Caenorhabditis elegans: one gene and its partners. The protein of the gene in region 1 interacts with the protein of each later gene in a biochemical or structural test. Each region holds a gene or a part of one and is shown in the gene's direction. Other genes may lie near its edges.

Region 1 (8,034 bases):
GAGAACACTCCAGCAGAACATCTTATCAACGTTCAGCTAAAGGAAATGTGGCGATCAAGGTGAGGGATTTATTTTCAAGTTTTTTGAAAATTGCTTTTTCGCTAAAATAAAGCTTTGACGTTCAAAAATTTAAAACTTCCAATGGCCATTGACTGTAGTCACTAATAATATCATTCCGACATAAAAATAATCAATTTATCACTTAGTACATACTCAATAATGATAATTTCTTTTCAGGAAACCTCCCCAGAAGGCAAATTTGTCATTTTGGAAAACACACACAGAGCCAAAGAAGAGCCACTCGGAGACTGGAAGCTTAAGAGAAAGATCGACGGAAAACGCGAGATCGTCTTCACCTTCCCATCCGACTACATCCTCCACCCATTCCAATCTGTCAAGGTTTGCGAATTTCTACTTCTTTCAGAAACAAGCCTAGCTACCCAGGACCTGTCGCGTATAAAACATTTCAAATTGGTGTCTCAGAATGAAATGTGTTGTTGTCTCTGTGTGTGTGTGTCGAATTGATAATCTAATGCGCGATTGCGTTTGGGTGTGGCAAGGTCATCCGTCCGTAATGACTAAAGGGGGGGTAACTTTGCTTCGAAAAAGAAAGATTGGGGATGTATGTAGGAGAAAAAGAAGGAATAAAAAGTGATAAACAAATTGATGGAAACTGTGAAGACAAACGTTGTTCACAGAAATCAATAAAAGGGACAGATGAGATGTGAGATTATTTAGGTCAGCTTTGAAAAAAAATGTTTTCAAATAAGGTTTGAATAAGAAATGAATTTGAAAGAAGCAATTATTTATTTAAAAGGTGGAGTAGCGCCAGTGGGGATTTTGTCTAAATGCACTTATAATGATCCAAAACAACCGAATATCATAATAAAACACTCCAAAATTTTTTTTAGATTTTTCATAATTTCCGGTCAAAGTTTTGGCAAATTCCCAAAAAATTTTAAAATACTAGCTTTTGAGGAAATTCAAAGAAATGTCGCATGTTTCGACCCCTACAATGTTTTAATACAAACAAAATTAAAACATAAAAAATGTCGAAAAAAAATTTTTTTTTTGATCGACTTCCAAAATTATGAGTGGCAAAAACTGAGTAATTGCCACTTTTTGACAGTAAATAAAAAATTTAAAAATTTTTTTTGAAAAGTTTTATCAAGATGTTTGGTCATTTTTGGACCAAAGGAGTGGTTTTTAACAATTTCCCGACTGGCGCTACTCCACCTTCAATCAATTTCATACAAAACATTTTTCATAAAAAAAAAAGAAATTCAAGTGAGGTGTTTTAACATTAAAAAAACCACTGTAAAGACAAATTTCTACATTTCCAGATCTTCGCCCGCGGACAAGGAATCGCCAATCCTCCAGAAGTGCTCATTTTCGAAGGTGACGAAACATTCGGTGTTGGCGCCAACGTTCAAACAATCCTTTACAACAATAAGGGAGAGGTAATTCAACCCCCAAAAATTTACGTGCAGAATAAAATGTTATTTTTTTCTTTGCAGGAGCGCGCGACACACATCCAACGTCAAAGCCAACAAACGACATCTTCCTAAATCTAGCTTTTTGCTTGAGCTATTTACTGTTTTCTTCTCTTTGTACCAGAAATCTGAACCCCAACTCTTTGCTGCCTGCCTGTTTGCATTTTTTCCGTTTGCTATATACTTTTTCACTTTTTTGTTTCTTTTTCCTCCGGTAACTTACTCATTTTCAACAATAAATACTTTATACAGATCAAAAAATTGCCATATGGAATGTTCATTTTTCATTTGAAACATTGATAGGAAAAGTAAGGTGGGGAAATATTAAAGGTGATAACGTGATCAAGAGCAAATAAGAAAGTCAGACGAATGGCTCGGTGAGCCGTGATAAGAAGACAAGGTCCAACCCAGCGATTCTAATCAGTTAACACGAGACAAGATACATCGAAAACCCACATTCGACCTGGTGGCGGTTATTCTAAATACGAGAGCATTACTGTGACAATGGGCAGCATGTATTATAATGGTGAGTCAAAGATTAAACCTGGCTGGTTCTGTGAAATGTTTGTATTTGTTTTAAGAAATTCAAAATCTGAAATGTCTTAAAAGTCTCAATTTTTTTAAATGGCTGATAAAATTTTGAAAACCTAGCTCTTCCAGATAAAACCTAGATTTCTGCCAACATGTCACAGTTGCGGCGGTCTGAAAACATTAGTTGATGGGTGCAAAAAATACTTCTTACTCCTGAAAACAACTTAATCAACGAAAAAAGTCATAACAATAAATATATTCATTAAAAATACATAGAAAAACAGAACATTCAATAAAATTTAATAAAAATCAATTTTGGGTAACTATGACAAACATAGGTTGACAAGTTAAAAATGTAGTTTTTTGTATTTTTTATTTTTTTCAGAAATAAAAATAAATTAAATTCGATATTTTGGGGTCATTTTGACCCAATTAAAAAATTAATCCAAATTTCGCTACTACACCTGTGAGAAGTTATCATAAATTTTTTTTAAAATGTGCTTTAAATGTGGAGTAGCGCCAGTGGGGGAAATTGTCAAAAACCACGCCTATGGTCTCAAATTAATGGAATATCAAAATAAAACTATTCAAAAAATTTTTGAAATTTTTTTTTTACTCTCAAAAAGTGACAATTATTTAGTTTTTACTCAAAATTTTGGAAGTCGTCCGAAAAAAAAAAGTTTTTCTACATTGTTTATACTGTGACTGTGTTTTAATTATTCACATTTAAACATTGTAGGGGTCTAAACATGCGGCCATGCTTCGGATTTCCTCACAAGCTCATATTTTTCGAAATTTGGCCATTTGCCAAAACTTTGACCGGAAATTATGAAAAGTCTAAAATTTTTGCAGTTTTTTATTATGATATTCTGTCGTTTTGGATCATAATAAGAGCATTTAGACAAAATCCCCATTGGCGCTACTTCACCTTTAAAATGCAGATAGATCATTAACTCAAACATAAACTTACTAGTTTTGAATTTTCATTATGAATTTAGATGTTTTTTAACAAACCTATAAATGCTCACAGGAAAATACAATGCATTAGGTTTTCCAAGAAATTATAATATAATGAACTCTTTCTGAAACATACTTCAGTCTTCATGATTTCAAAATCAAATTTTCCAATTCTGACATAAAATAATCCACTGGTCAAACGTAATGATTTGATAACGCATTTCTGTTTGACAGCTTAATTTTCATTTGAACTTTCATTTTCTGAAATCAAAACTGAATACGTTTTTTCAATTTATTACGTTTTACTTGTGTAGTATTAGAACTACAAAAAAGGTTTGCAATGGATTAAAATAATTATTTTTTATCATTGTGCCTATTTTGAGAGTTTCAAATAATTATTTTTATGCTTGAAAAAATAAAAAAATAGACATTTTCATTCATCTAATTTTTGAAATTAATTTATAAATTATTAATGGTTTAAATTTTTTCTTTAACGTATCTATATCATCTTGAAATATACCTCTTAACAATCTATTTACTTTGCATGCTTCTTTTTATGATTTCTATGATTCTTTCAAAATGCAAATAATGACGTCACTTTCTGCATCAACCGGAAGAAATTATGATGATGATATTTTTTTTTCCTTCTCTAGAAGTTTTTTACCCTTTCATTACCTCTAATGGAGTTGAGAAACCAGAGCCATACTACCTTTTCCAATTTTCTTTTCAACATAAGTTTCATGTCAAAAAGTGCTTATGCAGTATTGATAAGTGTAGTGAAACTCTCTCAAAGGACTGATAAGGCCGAAGAAAAAGTCATGATCTGCTTCCCGGAAATAGCAATCGATTTTTATTGACGAGTTTTAGTTATGCTCATTAATTTATTTTTTTATTGATATCGATAAATGTTTTAATATAATTTAATTTTGAATATTTCAGAGTCGAGAATGGTGAGGAAAGATGAGGTGACATGCAATGTTATTATAGGAGATGATAAGAAAACTGTGGTAAGTTAGAGAGCATTAAGATTAATTTAAAGAGTTTTAAAAATAAATATTATCTCATTTTTTGTCCGTAAAGTATAATGTGATGCAGGGATAGGCGGAAAAAAATTTTGTCGACAAATTCGGCAAATCGTCAAATTGCCGGTTTTCCCGATTTGCCGGAGATTTTCAATTCCGACAATTTACCGGTTTGCCGAGTTGCCGGAAATTTTCTTTTTTGGCAAATTGTCGGTTTTCCGTCTGCCGGATATCAAGTTTGCCGGAAATGTCTAGAGGGATTTTTATAAGACGGAAACACATGAAAATTGGCCCTTTTTGAAACTTTTTCCCGTTTTCTTTAGCTATTTACATAGAAGTTGTTCAATTTTCAAAATATATGTTGGAACATGCGTACAATTTTTCCGATTAAAATTGAAATTCTGAAATTTTTTAAAAATGTGCAAAACCACAATTTGCCAAACATTTTTGGCAATTGTCGTTTTTCCGGCAAGTTCGGCAAATCGGCAATTTGCACGTTTTCAATTCCGGCAACTTGCAATTTATAGATTTACCGTGTTCACTTTTGAGATTTGTGTGTTCCACAAGAAATATTTTAAAGTTTACACGTTCAGTTTCAATTATAAAACATTTTTCCTGAAGACTACACGGCGAGTAACTATAATAGAAAATTACAAATTTGTCACACATGCCCAAATCAGAAATATTTTTTTAAATACACTTGACGAGTTTTCAAATAAAATTATATTTTCAGGTTTACGCGCTCCGTATCGGAAATGGCCCAATTATGCAAAAAACGTTTGAAGAATATGAAAGATTTTTTACAACTGTCAGTTTTTTCAAGTTTTTATTTTCCAACTTTTTATTGACTTTCAGGAAAAGGATATGATCCCGGCTACAATTTTCACTGCGCCGAAAAAGAAGTTCCTGCAAGCTGACAGCAAGTTCTACGAGAAAAGACGTGTTTGGATCCTTGTGATTAGTCAGCATCTTGTTGATAATAATTTAAGAAGGTAATGAGATTAATTTATGTTGGATAGTTTATAATTCTTTGATTACAATGATTACAGTGAGGATGTCCGTCGGTTCTTCCATCTCGAAAGTCCGGATGATGATGAGAATAATGTTGATCTCGGACCAAGTGAGAGGAAAACGTATGTTTTGGCCATAAGGATTTGCGGTAAATCGCCAAAGTTGCACATATTGAAGTAGAGCTCCCAGCTGAGTGATGCGCAAAATGCGGACCTCACCCCGACGCCACCGTGTGTTTGCAATGAAGTTCGAAATGTAGTTATTTGGAGCGTCCGACATGTTCGGGGTTCCGCAGCTTGGTCGTGAAATAAGTAGCTTGGTGTGTGCGCAACGTAGTGTGAAGAGATGGTTGTTTGGAAGCGGCCGACACGTTCGGGGTTCCGCGCAACATTATACATTCGCATACATCCGTCTTGCGCGACGACCTCATGGGAGACCTATATTAAATACTTTTGATTTTTTTCCCCGAACGTTTGCAATGAGCTTCTAATTTTGTTTCATCTGCTCTTAAAATAGCTACGTTACCAAGTTTTTGAAATTTTTCCAATCTTTGAAACAAGACATCCATTTTTGATTCGTTCCAAAATAGGAAGTGTTGCTTATTTTCCGAAAATTTTGGCTTTCCCATCTCATGTTGACCTATTTTTGTCGACTCAAAATTTTTCGACCAACAGTATAATTTTTATGGAAATTTTAGAAACCAGAGTTTCATATATACGTTGCAAGACTTTTTGCCTCTAGCAGTTTATTTTCAGAGCCACCGCCAATGATTTCGATTATCTGACAACTATCGGAAAAGGAAGCTTTGGAAGAGTTTACCAAGTCAGGCACAAGGAGACCAAAAAAATCTACGCCATGAAAATTCTGTCCAAGGAACATATCAGAAAAAAGAACGAGGTATTGATTAGTGTTACAAGTTTTTGGAACATAAGTAGCAAATACGTTTTTAAGGTGAAACACGTCATGGCAGAAAGAAATGTGCTCATTAACAACTTTAAGCACCCTTTCCTTGTTTCACTTCACTTTTCGTTCCAAAATAAGGAGAAGCTGTATTTTGTGCTCGATCACTTGAACGGAGGAGAGGTACCTATTCCATGTGTTTAGATTAATATAGGGAAGAATGGACTCGATAGAAAACTTATAAAACTTTCAAAATGTGGCATTTCAGCTTTTCTCTCACCTCCAACGCGAGAAACATTTTTCCGAGTCGAGAAGTCGTTTTTACGCGGCCGAGATTGCATGTGCTCTGGGTTATCTTCACGAGAAAAACATTATCTACAGGTAGCGATTTACTTGCTTTCAAAAAAAGAAACCTCTAAATTGGTTTGGCAATATGCAAATATAAATTTACATTCCAGAGATTTGAAGCCTGAAAACCTTCTGTTGGACGATAAAGGTTACTTGGTGCTCACCGACTTTGGGCTCTGTAAAGAAGATATGCAAGGAAGCAAGACAACTTCCACATTTTGTGGGACGCCGGAGTACTTGGCCCCGGAAATTATTCTGAAAAAGCCTTACGACAAGACTGTTGACTGGTGGTGTTTGGGATCGGTTCTCTATGAAATGATTTTTGGATTGGTAAGGATTGCCGAGTTGGCATAAACTTGAAATACACAATCTGAAATATTATAGCTGGTTTATTAAAAAATATGATGACTAGTTTTATAATTAGTAGTTACAACTGCAATTTTCTTCCGCTTTTCGTAGAGCTTAGCGCAATAGAACTCTGCCGACTTTTGTTCCAATGACCTTCTCTAAAAGTTTTACATAACCTATTTACCATATTTTTTCTATTAGTACAGCCCTGATGTGTAATTCAGACTAGAAACTTAAAATTGCTTCTTCTTTTGCTTCTTCTTTTTGTTCTGTGATTTTCCCAAAACCACAGAACACAAAATATTACATAGTTCAAGCTAAAATTGCTGATTTGATTTATTTCCCTGACATAACTTTCTTAATCTGCTCCCCCCCCCCCCAAAAAAGAGCAATCATTTCAGCCTCCATTCTACTCAAAAGATCATAACGAGATGTACGACAAGATCATCAACCAGCCACTTCGTCTCAAGCACAACATCTCTGTGCCATGCAGTGAGCTCATCACCGGGCTCTTGCAAAAAGACCGTTCAAAGCGTCTGGGCCATCGCAATGATTTCCGTGACATTCGTGATCATCCATTCTTCCTTCCGGTTGATTGGGATAAGCTTCTGAATCGTGAGCTTAAGGCTCCGTTCATTCCGAAAGTGAAAAACGCAATGGATACATCCAATATTTCAAAGGAGTTCGTGGAGATTCAAATTGATCCATGTAAGATATATGTACAATAATTGGCATAATTAAGGATGGTTGGGGATAGAACTGGCATATTTCCGGTCATCGCGTCCGGTTTTGGAATTTTGAGAATTTTCCGAAGGTAGTTTTTCACGGCGGCCGACAATTTCCGAGTTTAGCCACTCATTATCGAATTATGTATATGATTAAGTATAGTGAGTGGCCAAACTCGGAAATTGTCGGCCGCCGTGAAAACTACTTTTTCTGAAAATTTTTTAAAATTCCAAAACCGGACCCCAAATATGCCAGCCCTAGTTGGGGAGAAGGGTTGGTTCCAATAAGAATGTAAAAATTTGTAGTAACTAATCTTAGTTCAACGCTCTATTCAAAGTGACATCTAATATGTAGTAAGACCAAATCTTGTAATGAGAGGTCTTCAAAAATTTCATTTTTCTTCAAAAACTTCCTTTTTCTGTACGGTTTCTTTTCAAAATCAAAAAGAACAGTCTCAATATACCGAAAATGACTGCGAAAAAATTTGAAACATTTTTTTCATTTTTTTAAAAACTGTTTTCAAACTTTCCAAAACTTTTTAAAAAGCCTCATTTTTCAAGCCCACGTCTTTTGATTCCTTTTGTTTCTCGGCAAAGTTTATTAGTTTCTTTTTCGGTTTTTGATCTCATTAAAATGTCTAATTTTAATAGAAGCCCAAATAAAATATTAAGATGAAATGAGCTGAGGAAAAAAGTAAG
Region 2 (4,841 bases), on another chromosome or scaffold:
TCTGTCTAGTGTACTTTAACACACAATTCAGTAAGTCTTTTCCTCTTCTTCTCCTGTGCCCGGAGAAGAAGAAAAAGACAGGTGGGTTTTGATGATGATCCACGAAAATAACCGTCAGATGATTATGTAAGAGACACTTTTTGATCGTTTTCAATTGAAAATAGAACGTAGCAAATTGAAAATAGTTTTCGTCGTGTTTTTTGAAAAGTTATTTTTTTGTGAAAAACATGAGTGTTTTCTATGTTTTGCATGTTTTCTGCTCTTTTTCAGTTATTTACAAAATGCAGCAAAAGATTGTTTAGAAAGATTGAAAAGACTTAGCGCGTATAGTTTGATCTATTGGTGGGGGTGGAGTCAGTGCATCTAATTTTACGCGCAATTTTATTATGAAAAAAAAAAAAAAAGAAAAAAAAGAAAAAAAAATTTCTTTGAAAAGCAAAAAAATTGCCAAAAATTGGAGATTAGAAAACTTTTAAAAAAAATCGGCAACTCTATTACGGGAACACAAACTTGTGAGAATGCGTATTTCACAACATATTTGACGCGCAGAATGTCTCGTAGCGAAAACTTGACTACTCTAACGCTTATGTCGATTTACGTGCTCGATGTTCGAAATCCTTTGATTTAATAAAATTCATCTCGAAGATCGAGCCCGTAAATCGACACAAGCGCTACAGTAGTCATGTTTTCGCTACGAGATATTTTGCGCGTAAAATATGTTTTGCAATACGCATTCTAAAAACTTTGTGTTCCCGTAATAACCAAAGTGCTTCGAAGTTTTACGAGAAAAATCCAATTTTTTGGAACTATTGTTAACGACATGTTTAGAAAAAGGTGTTTCTTCAAAAAAAAAGAAGGAAAATTGACAGAATTTCAAGGAAATTTACAAAAAAAAATCGAATTTTAATTACATTTCTGCTATATTTATGAAAAAAATTCGTAAGAAACTGTTATTTTTCCTCAAAAAAAAAGAAAAAAAAAACCAAAATTAATATTATATACTTTTAGAAAAATATTTTTTTTTTCGAAAAAATATAATATATTCTCCAAAGTTTTTCCAGCTCAAAGAAATTTTCGCCTTTCTTTAATTAAAAAATTTGAATTTGAAACCTTCATATTTTCTGTACTTTTTCGTAAACTCCGGTGTTTGCACAGTGTAGATTTACGAACTCTGATTTTTTTTTCTTGAAATCATTTTTTTACCAAAATCTTCTCTCACGATTTCCTCTCTTTAAAAAACTCATGTTTTATTCCTAATAGTGAGTTCGTTTGGGGCGAGCTTGCTGCTTTTTCGCTTTATATCTTCTTTTTTTCGTTTCCCCTTTTTCTTTTCCGTCTCAAAGTTCATAAAACAGTTTTGCACTTTCTCGTAAACAACTCTCGCATGGGGTCGCTCAGAAGTTGATCTCTGAAACCTCTGTCGCCGGCCGCCAACCAACGAGAAAAAAAAGCATTCCCAATGTCCTCTTTTCTATTTTTTTTTTCTTCATATTATTTCTCAAGGAAAGACATATCGGTTTACTTTTCCATCATTTGACGAGAACATGTGATGGAAAAAATGGTGGAAAAGTGGGCAAAAATGGATTGTGATAAGAAACTTTTTTTTTGCAAAAAAATCTTCCTCTATACACATTTTATGTCAAAATAAGCTTCTTCTCTCTCTCTTTTTATCAGTTCGAGACGTCGGAAATGTTCATTTTTAGTTAAGATTTCAAAATTATCCAAAATAAAAACGTTTCATTTGAAATTAATTTCCTCATTGTAACTTCTATTCAATTTCTATCTGTATTTTAATGATGCAACTCGAGGTTTTTAACATTTTTTGCTTATAATTATGATTCTAAATTGAAAATCAAACTAAAATTTGCAGCAAAAGTCTTCATTACATTGCTCGAAGTGCCGAAATTTTCTGCAAAAATTCTCACAGGACATGCAAGCGTGGAACTGTCGTGAGGTATGGCGCCGCATACGCAAACACCTTGCACACACATCGAGAACTACCGTATACTCGCAGTTTAAATTTCAAATTTTCGAAATTTTTTTCCAATCATTTTTCCCTATTTTTCTTCATTTCGCTGCTAAAAATAGTTGTTTTGAACCCGATTTTGTGCGAAATCGTGGAAGTTTACACAGCTTTTACAGTTGAAAATCAAAAAAGCGCGCTTTTTTCGTCTAATTTGCCCAGTTTTCAGCTCGATTCGCCGCTACCATCTGACATCACACTGCACAATCTCGAACCGGCAAGGCCTGATTCCGGAATGAGTTTTTCCACTGATTTTGACGGTAAATTCGTGATTTAAAGTTGTAAATTCCAATTTTATTTGTTTTTTTTTCAGATGATTTCTTCAATCTCGACCTCCATCAACAAGAGCGTTCGGCTTCTTTTGGCGGAGTAACCCAGTATTCTCAACAATTTCTTCGCGAAAAATGCTCGTTCTCTCCGTATTTCCACACATCTTTAGAGACTGTTGACAGCGGAAGAACTAGGTACGCCAAATTTAAGATTTTTAGGTGGTTTGTGAAGGTTCATAAAAGTCGAATTGCACTAAAAGCATTGTTTCGTGGAAAAAGGACAAACGCTATAAAAGTTGATGATTTTTGCCCTTTTTATCAATTTTTGAAAGAGTTTTGGCTTGTGAACAAGCCTCGGTTTTAAAATTTCAAAATTTCAAAATTTTAAATGTTTAAATTAAAAAAGAACAAAAAAATATATAGAAATATATATATATATGCCGAATGGCCTTGAATTTTTCTCAATTTTAGGTCTCAGCTGACCTTTTACTGTTTCTGATTTTTCAATTCTTGTGGTCGTGTCGCGTCATCTTTTATCTGTCACATTCGCTCTGATTTTTGATCATCGAAATTTCTTTTTTTCGTTACTCTTCCAATTTCTCCATTTTATTTCCGATCGGTTGGCACAATCAAAAGTGATTTCTCTCATTGTTGCTGACCTCGAGATTTGTTTAAGGGAAAACCCTTTGATGTCATCACTGTTTTAGTTGTTTTTTGTTTCTAATCATTTAACACTTTTTCGTCTTTTATAGGCCAACAAGCCTATTGTCAGCTGTTGGTCCACTAAGCACACGGGAAATTCACGTGCATGTGAGGAGGAGAGGCAAATAGAATTTAAAGGGGTTTCCCCGATCTTTTGACTCTTTTCTCTCTTTTTTTTTCTCGCGGAGTTGCAGTTTGCAAACAACTGGTGATTAGGTTTTCTATTTTCTCTTTTCTCTTTTGATTGCTTGGAAATTAGATTTGATGCAAACTTTAATATCATGAGTTTCTGATTCAACTTTTTTAAAGACAGAAATCGTATTTTCGTTCTAAAAATAATTTCTCTCTACAGTAACCCCATTTCTTTTAAAAACCGTCGTCGCCCGTCTCAACAATTACTCACCATTGTGTGCAACATTGTATACGGTGTGACGTTCAGAGGTCGAAAACTGTCACGCGTTTGCTCCCTCACTGTATTGCCAGACAGAGTCTCTCTGTCTCTCTCTCTCTGTTCTGTCACATCAGCTGTTCTTCTCTCTACGGGAAGGAAGCACAAAATGGCAAACATTTGAAAGAAAGGGAGAGAGCAAGTGGTATTTGAGAACGGAAAAGTGCACTTTTTGCACACTGTTGTAGCGGGGTTTTTGATTAGAACAGACGATAGGTCGAAAATCAGAGAACAGAAACGAAGTACCTATTATGGTTCCATTTTAGAAAATTCAAATTTTCGAAATAAGGAGGTTTTTGGCAGAACTGGTAATTCCTGTATGATTTCAAATTTTTTGAATCAAAAATTAAAACAGAAATGTAGGAAAATCATATACCTTTATTAAAAAAGCTTGAAAAGTTTCAGGCAACGCCTGAAAGTCGCTTTTTTTATATTTGGAATTTTTAACTAACTCTACATCTTAAAATTAAGTGTTGATTCTAAATATGGGAATATCATATCGAAAATATTTTTTTTGGCGATCTTGTGCCCCCAAGCCAATTTTTTTTGAATTAAGAGTCTCTACAATATCGACCATTTTCACACAGTACGGTACTTTAATTTAATTGTCATTCCACTCAGCCTTCCTACTATACACGTCCCATTGGATTTCAGTGTCTCGTTGTCTGGATAGACTCGCGTCGAAAAAAAAGGAAAAAAAGTAGTGTGTTCTACTCACGGTCTGTCTGTGATTTTTTTTGCTGCCTCCTCTCTCTGGTGAAAGTGAAAGTGTTTGTTTTGGCCTTTAGTCCTTCTTCCTTCCTACGCTCTGATTTTCAGTGAAATTTGATCGAGACCTCACTTTTTTTTAGTCGACCTGAAAATCTGGTGGCCAAAAATATCAGTTAGATCTAGCTTATCGGAATTACCATTGAGTTATTTGTTCTTTGTACTCTCACGAAATCTTTCCCACTCCATTGCGCTATATAATCAAGCTCCTTTTGACTGTCAACATACTGACAGTCTTTGATCATTTCATCATACATTGCCAGGCGTCTTTATCAATTGCCTGCTGCAAAAGATAAAAGTCAGTCAGACGCGTTGACACCGATTTTTCTTTCTCATGTAAAAAATCAAAAAAGAACAAAAACGGCAAGTGACGTTGTATATTCTGTTTTGAAAATAAATTATTAAAAAAACAGTTTCAAAGGTCAGAGTTCTAGGCGTAAACTAGATGATGTGATAATCTGAAATTACTGTAAAAAGCCCCTCCCACGAAAAATCTTTAGGTTTCTGCTAACTAATAACGCACTTGAACTAGACTCTCTCTTGGTTTTGCACTTTTGTTATTGCCCTCTCTCTGTTTCTCCCCGCACACTCCCGTTTCTTGTTACTCCGATGAAACTCTTGTTATACATTG
Region 3 (4,595 bases), on another chromosome or scaffold:
ATCGTGCACCTTTAAGGCCTACTGTAGTTCCCAACTCCCATTTTTCAACCGATTTACGTTAAAAAGGTATAAAACCAACCCAAATCTGAAAGAAACTAGTGAAAAAGAGTGATTTTTCCTAGTTTTCCGCCCGTTTCTACGAAATTTGGCGTGTTTTTACATGTTTTTTAATAAATTTTATTTAAATAATTGGGTGAACACTTGAGGAGTTGGGAAATACCGTAGGCCTTAAAGGCGCACGATCCCTTATGAGTTTGAGTAAATCGGGTTTTTTAAAGTATTTTTGGAGCAAAACTGTAAAATTTCACATCTCGTTAAGAATGGATTTACAATATTCATTTTCCGGTATAAAGATCGATTTTATAATTTTTTGGTTTCAGAAACACCCTAATTTTTATACATTTTTCAGGATCGAAACAAAAATTTCAAACCACCATATCAAATTCATGCTGATTCACTGGTTGACAATGGTGTCAAATACAATGCAGTTATGACACTCAACACAGATGTTCGATGGACTCGTGCAATGGCTCTAATGCTCACAGATCTCAAAGCTGCGTGTGCTCAATGCGATGCTCTCAGATCGCCTATTTAGTGATTTCACGGGATCAAATGTAGAATAACATTTTCAACGCTAGAAATTTTTTTTTCAATTTCTCAGGGACGCTTCTTTAAAAAATATTCAATTTTCATTGTGATTTCTAGTTTTTTTTTTCAAATTTTCTGCTGGAATTCTGCCTTTTCCCCAAACTTGTACCATATGTAAATATATTAAAAGTAAAGATTTTTATTGCAGTCTTGTGGAGGAAATTTTGTTATTTTTTGTTGATTGGTTTTGAAACCAATTCTGTTATCTAAAATTTGAATTTTTCCTAATTTATTTTCTCTTTCTTGTTGCTTTACTTGGTTTAATGATTATTAAAATTTTCTGAAACTGTGAAATCAAGTTCCTACCACTAAACTTATTTTAATCTGATTTTACTAATATTGCCTCAAAATTTTCGAAAAATGTATAACTGAAAATATCGAAAAATAAGGTCCAAATTTTGCTAAATTCTGGATTTTTTTAAAGCTAAAACACCGTTTTTTTTTTATTTTCGACCAAAATGTGTGGAAAATTTGAATGTTTTTTCGATTTTTCCAGTCATAAACGTTTTTGAAATTATTTAAATAAATATCACTATGAAATTCGGCACTTTTGTGCCAGATTTAGTTTTTTTTAAGCGAAAACCTCCCACAAACTATATTCCTCCTTTAATTAAATTTGAAAAAAAATACTGTAGGTTTTTGTAGACAATACAATTCCCCAAAAACGAAGTTTCTAGTTTTTTCTAGAATAGTTCTTGTAATTCCGAAAATTCCCGTTTTCTGAATTCTAGAAAAAAAATTGTTGTAACTCAAAATATTGCAGAGAAGGCCTCGTGTCGTCGTTCACGCGTTTCTCCTCCGTCGATCGGACTCTGGTCACTCAGCCGCGAGTCCGTGTCCGAATATTGTTGAGAGAAGTGTTCCACTCATTCTCACAGGATCTATCATAATCCAGTCAGTCGATGGGCGGTTCATCACGCCGTCAGCGAAGTACGTCGGCGACGAGACGAGACGATAAACGAAGACGAAGACAGTGCTTCTCTTCGGTAGCCGACGACGAAGAAGAGACGACGTCAATTTATGGAGTGTCGGTTAGTTTTTTTTTTGTTGGTTTTATCAAGTAAAAAGACCTGAAGAATATCATCATTTCACGGGAGAGCATGACTTTTCGTATCACTTTTCCAGTCAACTCTTGCAATTCTGATTCAATATTACTTGCATTTACAATTTTTGTTTTCTTCATGTTCTAAATCCAACTTTAACTAAGATTTGTAGATTTTTTCCCAAGATTTTTGGCTCAAAATTCCAGCTTTAACCTTAAACATGGCTTTTCTCTTCACGGATTACTTAATTTCTTCAGAAACAAGAAAAAAAACTAAAAGAATAACCAAGATCTGAGTGGAGCCTATTTTTAGCTTTTTTAAGCTTTTTCATCATCTACCTATATATTATTCTTGGAAGTTTCTATTAATTCGAGTAGACTAAAATAGGGAAAATACACCACAATTGAGAGTCGAGTTTTCAAAAATATGATTTTTCAAGTTCAAATTCAAACATTTTTTCTTATTTACACCCGGTTATAGATCATTTCTCAAAGACCGCGTAACATATTTACTTTGAACAGCTTTTCCTTCCCAAACTCCATATCAGACCACCTTCTCCTCTTATCACTTCAGTCACATCACTCTCGTTATCTAGGTCTCCCGCATTGTTACGTGTTAATCCCAACTATCTCATGTAGAATGTCACAGTTGCCTCGTTGTCTGAAACTATTCACGGCTCATTCTGTCTCTCTCTCTCTCTCTCTGTTGCAATAATGATGCCGGAACGACTATGTTCGTAAATGCCAGAGGACGAAGTCGAAGTCCTCTGAAAAGTAGAATTTCAAAAATTCAAGAAAACAATGGAAAGCGTGATCTTTGTATTTCAGAGCCGCTAAGAAGACCGTTCCCTTCCGAAATCCTTCTTCCGCCAGATCATCAGATTTTCAGATATTTTCCAATCTCTTCAATCTTAAACTTAGCCTAAAATATTACTGTCTGTACATTGTCCTCCATATATGTATATTATACAAACATCTTGCCGGAGTCGCTCCAAAATCGCAAACCCCCGATTGCCTATATGCCAGCTTGATAGCAGCATTACCATCCTGATAGACACCCCACGAGGCTCTTGATTTTTCGAACTTTTTCTGCTACGCCGACAGCGACTATCAACAACGGTTTTCCACCACCACGTACAATGTTTGATCAAACCGTTTGATTAAATTGACGCTCTCGGTGCAAGATGATATCATCTGGAAATGAGACGTTTAAAACCGAAAAAATGACTTGAATCATATCTGTGGTCTGATTGTGAATGGGTGCGGTTGACATGGTTAGTTGGGTTTTTGCACGCAATGGATCAAGGAATTGGTATAAGTTGAAATTCGGATCACAGCTTTCGATTTGTAAAAATTGAAAGTATGATTATTTATTGACAGAATATGAGTAGAAGCTTTCTTCTACTATATTCTAATTGAATTGCAATGTATTTGACATGCTGAACCTATTCGTTTTCACGGTTGAGGTCAAGAAATATAATTCTGAACATCACGTTCTACGAGAATTCATAAACAGCCAAATATGATGTCAAACTCACAGTACACTCAAACAGAAAGATTGAGTTCTTTGAGTTCCGACGGAACTACTATATTCTAAATTTCGCGATTTTTGATCATAATATCCTGAAATAAACAGGATATGTTCTGATTAATTGAGATTTTCAACCAAATATCAGACTATTATGCGCTTGTTTTTATTTTTGTTGTAGTAATAATAAAAATAAAAACACGTGGTTTGTAGCAGGTTTAGTATCATAATTATTTTTAGCCAAGATTTCGAAGAATTCTGATCACATATCAACAGGGAAGAAGGTGTGTGGATAATTCAATTTTCCCATGCATGTCTGACGCAGGTGGTTTGAATAATTCAGTTGTAGCTCAATTGTAGATGTATCCGATTTCCGTGTGCACCCAAACCTCTCTTTTTTAGAATATCGAAAATCTTTTCTTTTTCTCGTCAAGTGATATCTTTTGCATCTCTCATATATTTCTTATCAGTCTTGGCACAAACTTCAAACTGATATGCTTTATTTTTGAATTTTTGGTTCCTTTCCAAAAAAAAACTTGGATTTTTGGAAACGTGAAAACCAGCACGCATTTTGAAATTAGGCGTTGAGAAGAAATTAAATCAAAACAAATTTTTTATTCTCAGCAGTACCACCAAGCATTAAGTTTATTGAATAATTGTTTTAAACTGTTCTCTCGGTTTCGTGAGTTTCAGTTTCAATCGTTTTTCAAAGTATTCTGTACTAGACTTGTAACTTTTTTCGAAAAATATATCAACTTTTTGAATCAAAAATTAATGTTAAAATGTAGGAAAATGCTCGTTCGGTTTGAAAAAAAAATTTTTTTTGAAAACTTTTTAAAAGACGGCACAATTGAAAGTCTTTTTCAAACTTTTCCAACAAAAATACATATCATTTTCAGATTGAGCGAGCATTTTCCTACATTTTTATATTCATTTTTGTACGTTTGCCGAAATATTTTTCCGCACAGTCCTGCTCTGTACTACTTCTGTGTGGATTCATCAGAATTTAAGGGCAACGTGCTATGAAAAATTGCATCAACATCCACACACACATTCTCCAGATCTTCGGTTTTTCACCTCCCACCGTCTACTACCTGCCTGCAACAATTCGGTCGCACTCGCCCTCTCGCTACAACATTCACCTGCCGTTGTGTAGTCGTTTTGTAGTCGTCGTCTTTGGTGCAAGCGGCGAGCGACAATGCTGGTCTTATCAGCTTTCGTTGACTTCGTTACGGCCCCCACAGCAGCCTTCTCTTCTAGTTTTTCATTTAATTGGTCAATTTTCTGCGCACGTTAATTTACCGCGCACCAAGATTTCGGATCAAAAAGTTGCGATTTTCGATCTCCACAAGTCTGTGTCTATCTGTGTTCAGGCAA

The links. The genes of interacting proteins can lie anywhere in the genome.
Region 2: of the proteins of sgk-1 (region 1) and daf-16, one has a biochemical effect on the other in vitro, tested with the Caenorhabditis elegans proteins (2 studies listed by BioGRID).
Region 3: of the proteins of sgk-1 (region 1) and skn-1, one has a biochemical effect on the other in vitro, tested with the Caenorhabditis elegans proteins (one study listed by BioGRID).

Annotation. Positions count from the first base shown.
Region 1 is NC_003284.9:16,256,015-16,264,048, reverse strand, and holds the start of sgk-1 (Serine/threonine-protein kinase sgk-1), read left to right. Parts: upstream 1-1,997; coding exon 1,998-2,019; intron 2,020-3,920; coding exon 3,921-3,988; intron 3,989-4,736; coding exon 4,737-4,811; intron 4,812-4,858; coding exon 4,859-4,995; intron 4,996-5,052; coding exon 5,053-5,136; intron 5,137-5,769; coding exon 5,770-5,911; intron 5,912-5,965; coding exon 5,966-6,097; intron 6,098-6,182; coding exon 6,183-6,295; intron 6,296-6,372; coding exon 6,373-6,592; intron 6,593-7,011; coding exon 7,012-7,318; intron 7,319-8,034. Other genes in the region: mua-6 (Intermediate filament protein ifa-2), read left to right, coding at 1-59, 238-399, 1,344-1,460, 1,518-1,568. UniProt on the Caenorhabditis elegans protein: Acts downstream of PI3 kinase age-1 and kinase pdk-1 in the daf-2/insulin receptor-like transduction pathway. Essential role in regulating development, stress response, and longevity.
Region 2 is NC_003279.8:10,748,702-10,753,542, forward strand, and holds the start of daf-16 (Forkhead box protein O), read left to right. Parts: upstream 1-1,796; coding exon 1,797-1,808; intron 1,809-1,861; exon of another isoform or gene 1,862-1,870; coding exon 1,871-1,954; exon of another isoform or gene 1,955-2,004; intron 2,005-2,192; coding exon 2,193-2,283; intron 2,284-2,336; coding exon 2,337-2,487; intron 2,488-3,717; exon of another isoform or gene 3,718-3,856; intron 3,857-4,364; exon of another isoform or gene 4,365-4,511; intron 4,512-4,841. UniProt on the Caenorhabditis elegans protein: Forkhead-type transcription factor. Binds to the promoters of genes that contain the daf-16/FOXO binding element (DBE), TTGTTTAC, in their regulatory region.
Region 3 is NC_003282.8:5,657,340-5,661,934, reverse strand, and holds the start of skn-1 (Protein skinhead-1), read left to right. Parts: upstream 1-1,550; coding exon 1,551-1,679; intron 1,680-4,369; exon of another isoform or gene 4,370-4,519; intron 4,520-4,564; exon of another isoform or gene 4,565-4,595. Other genes in the region: bec-1 (Beclin homolog), read left to right, coding at 410-595. UniProt on the Caenorhabditis elegans protein: Transcription factor. Required to specify the fate of ventral blastomeres in the early embryo, and postembryonically for the development of the intestine. Directly regulates expression of zygotically expressed med-1 and med-2 to direct mesendoderm development.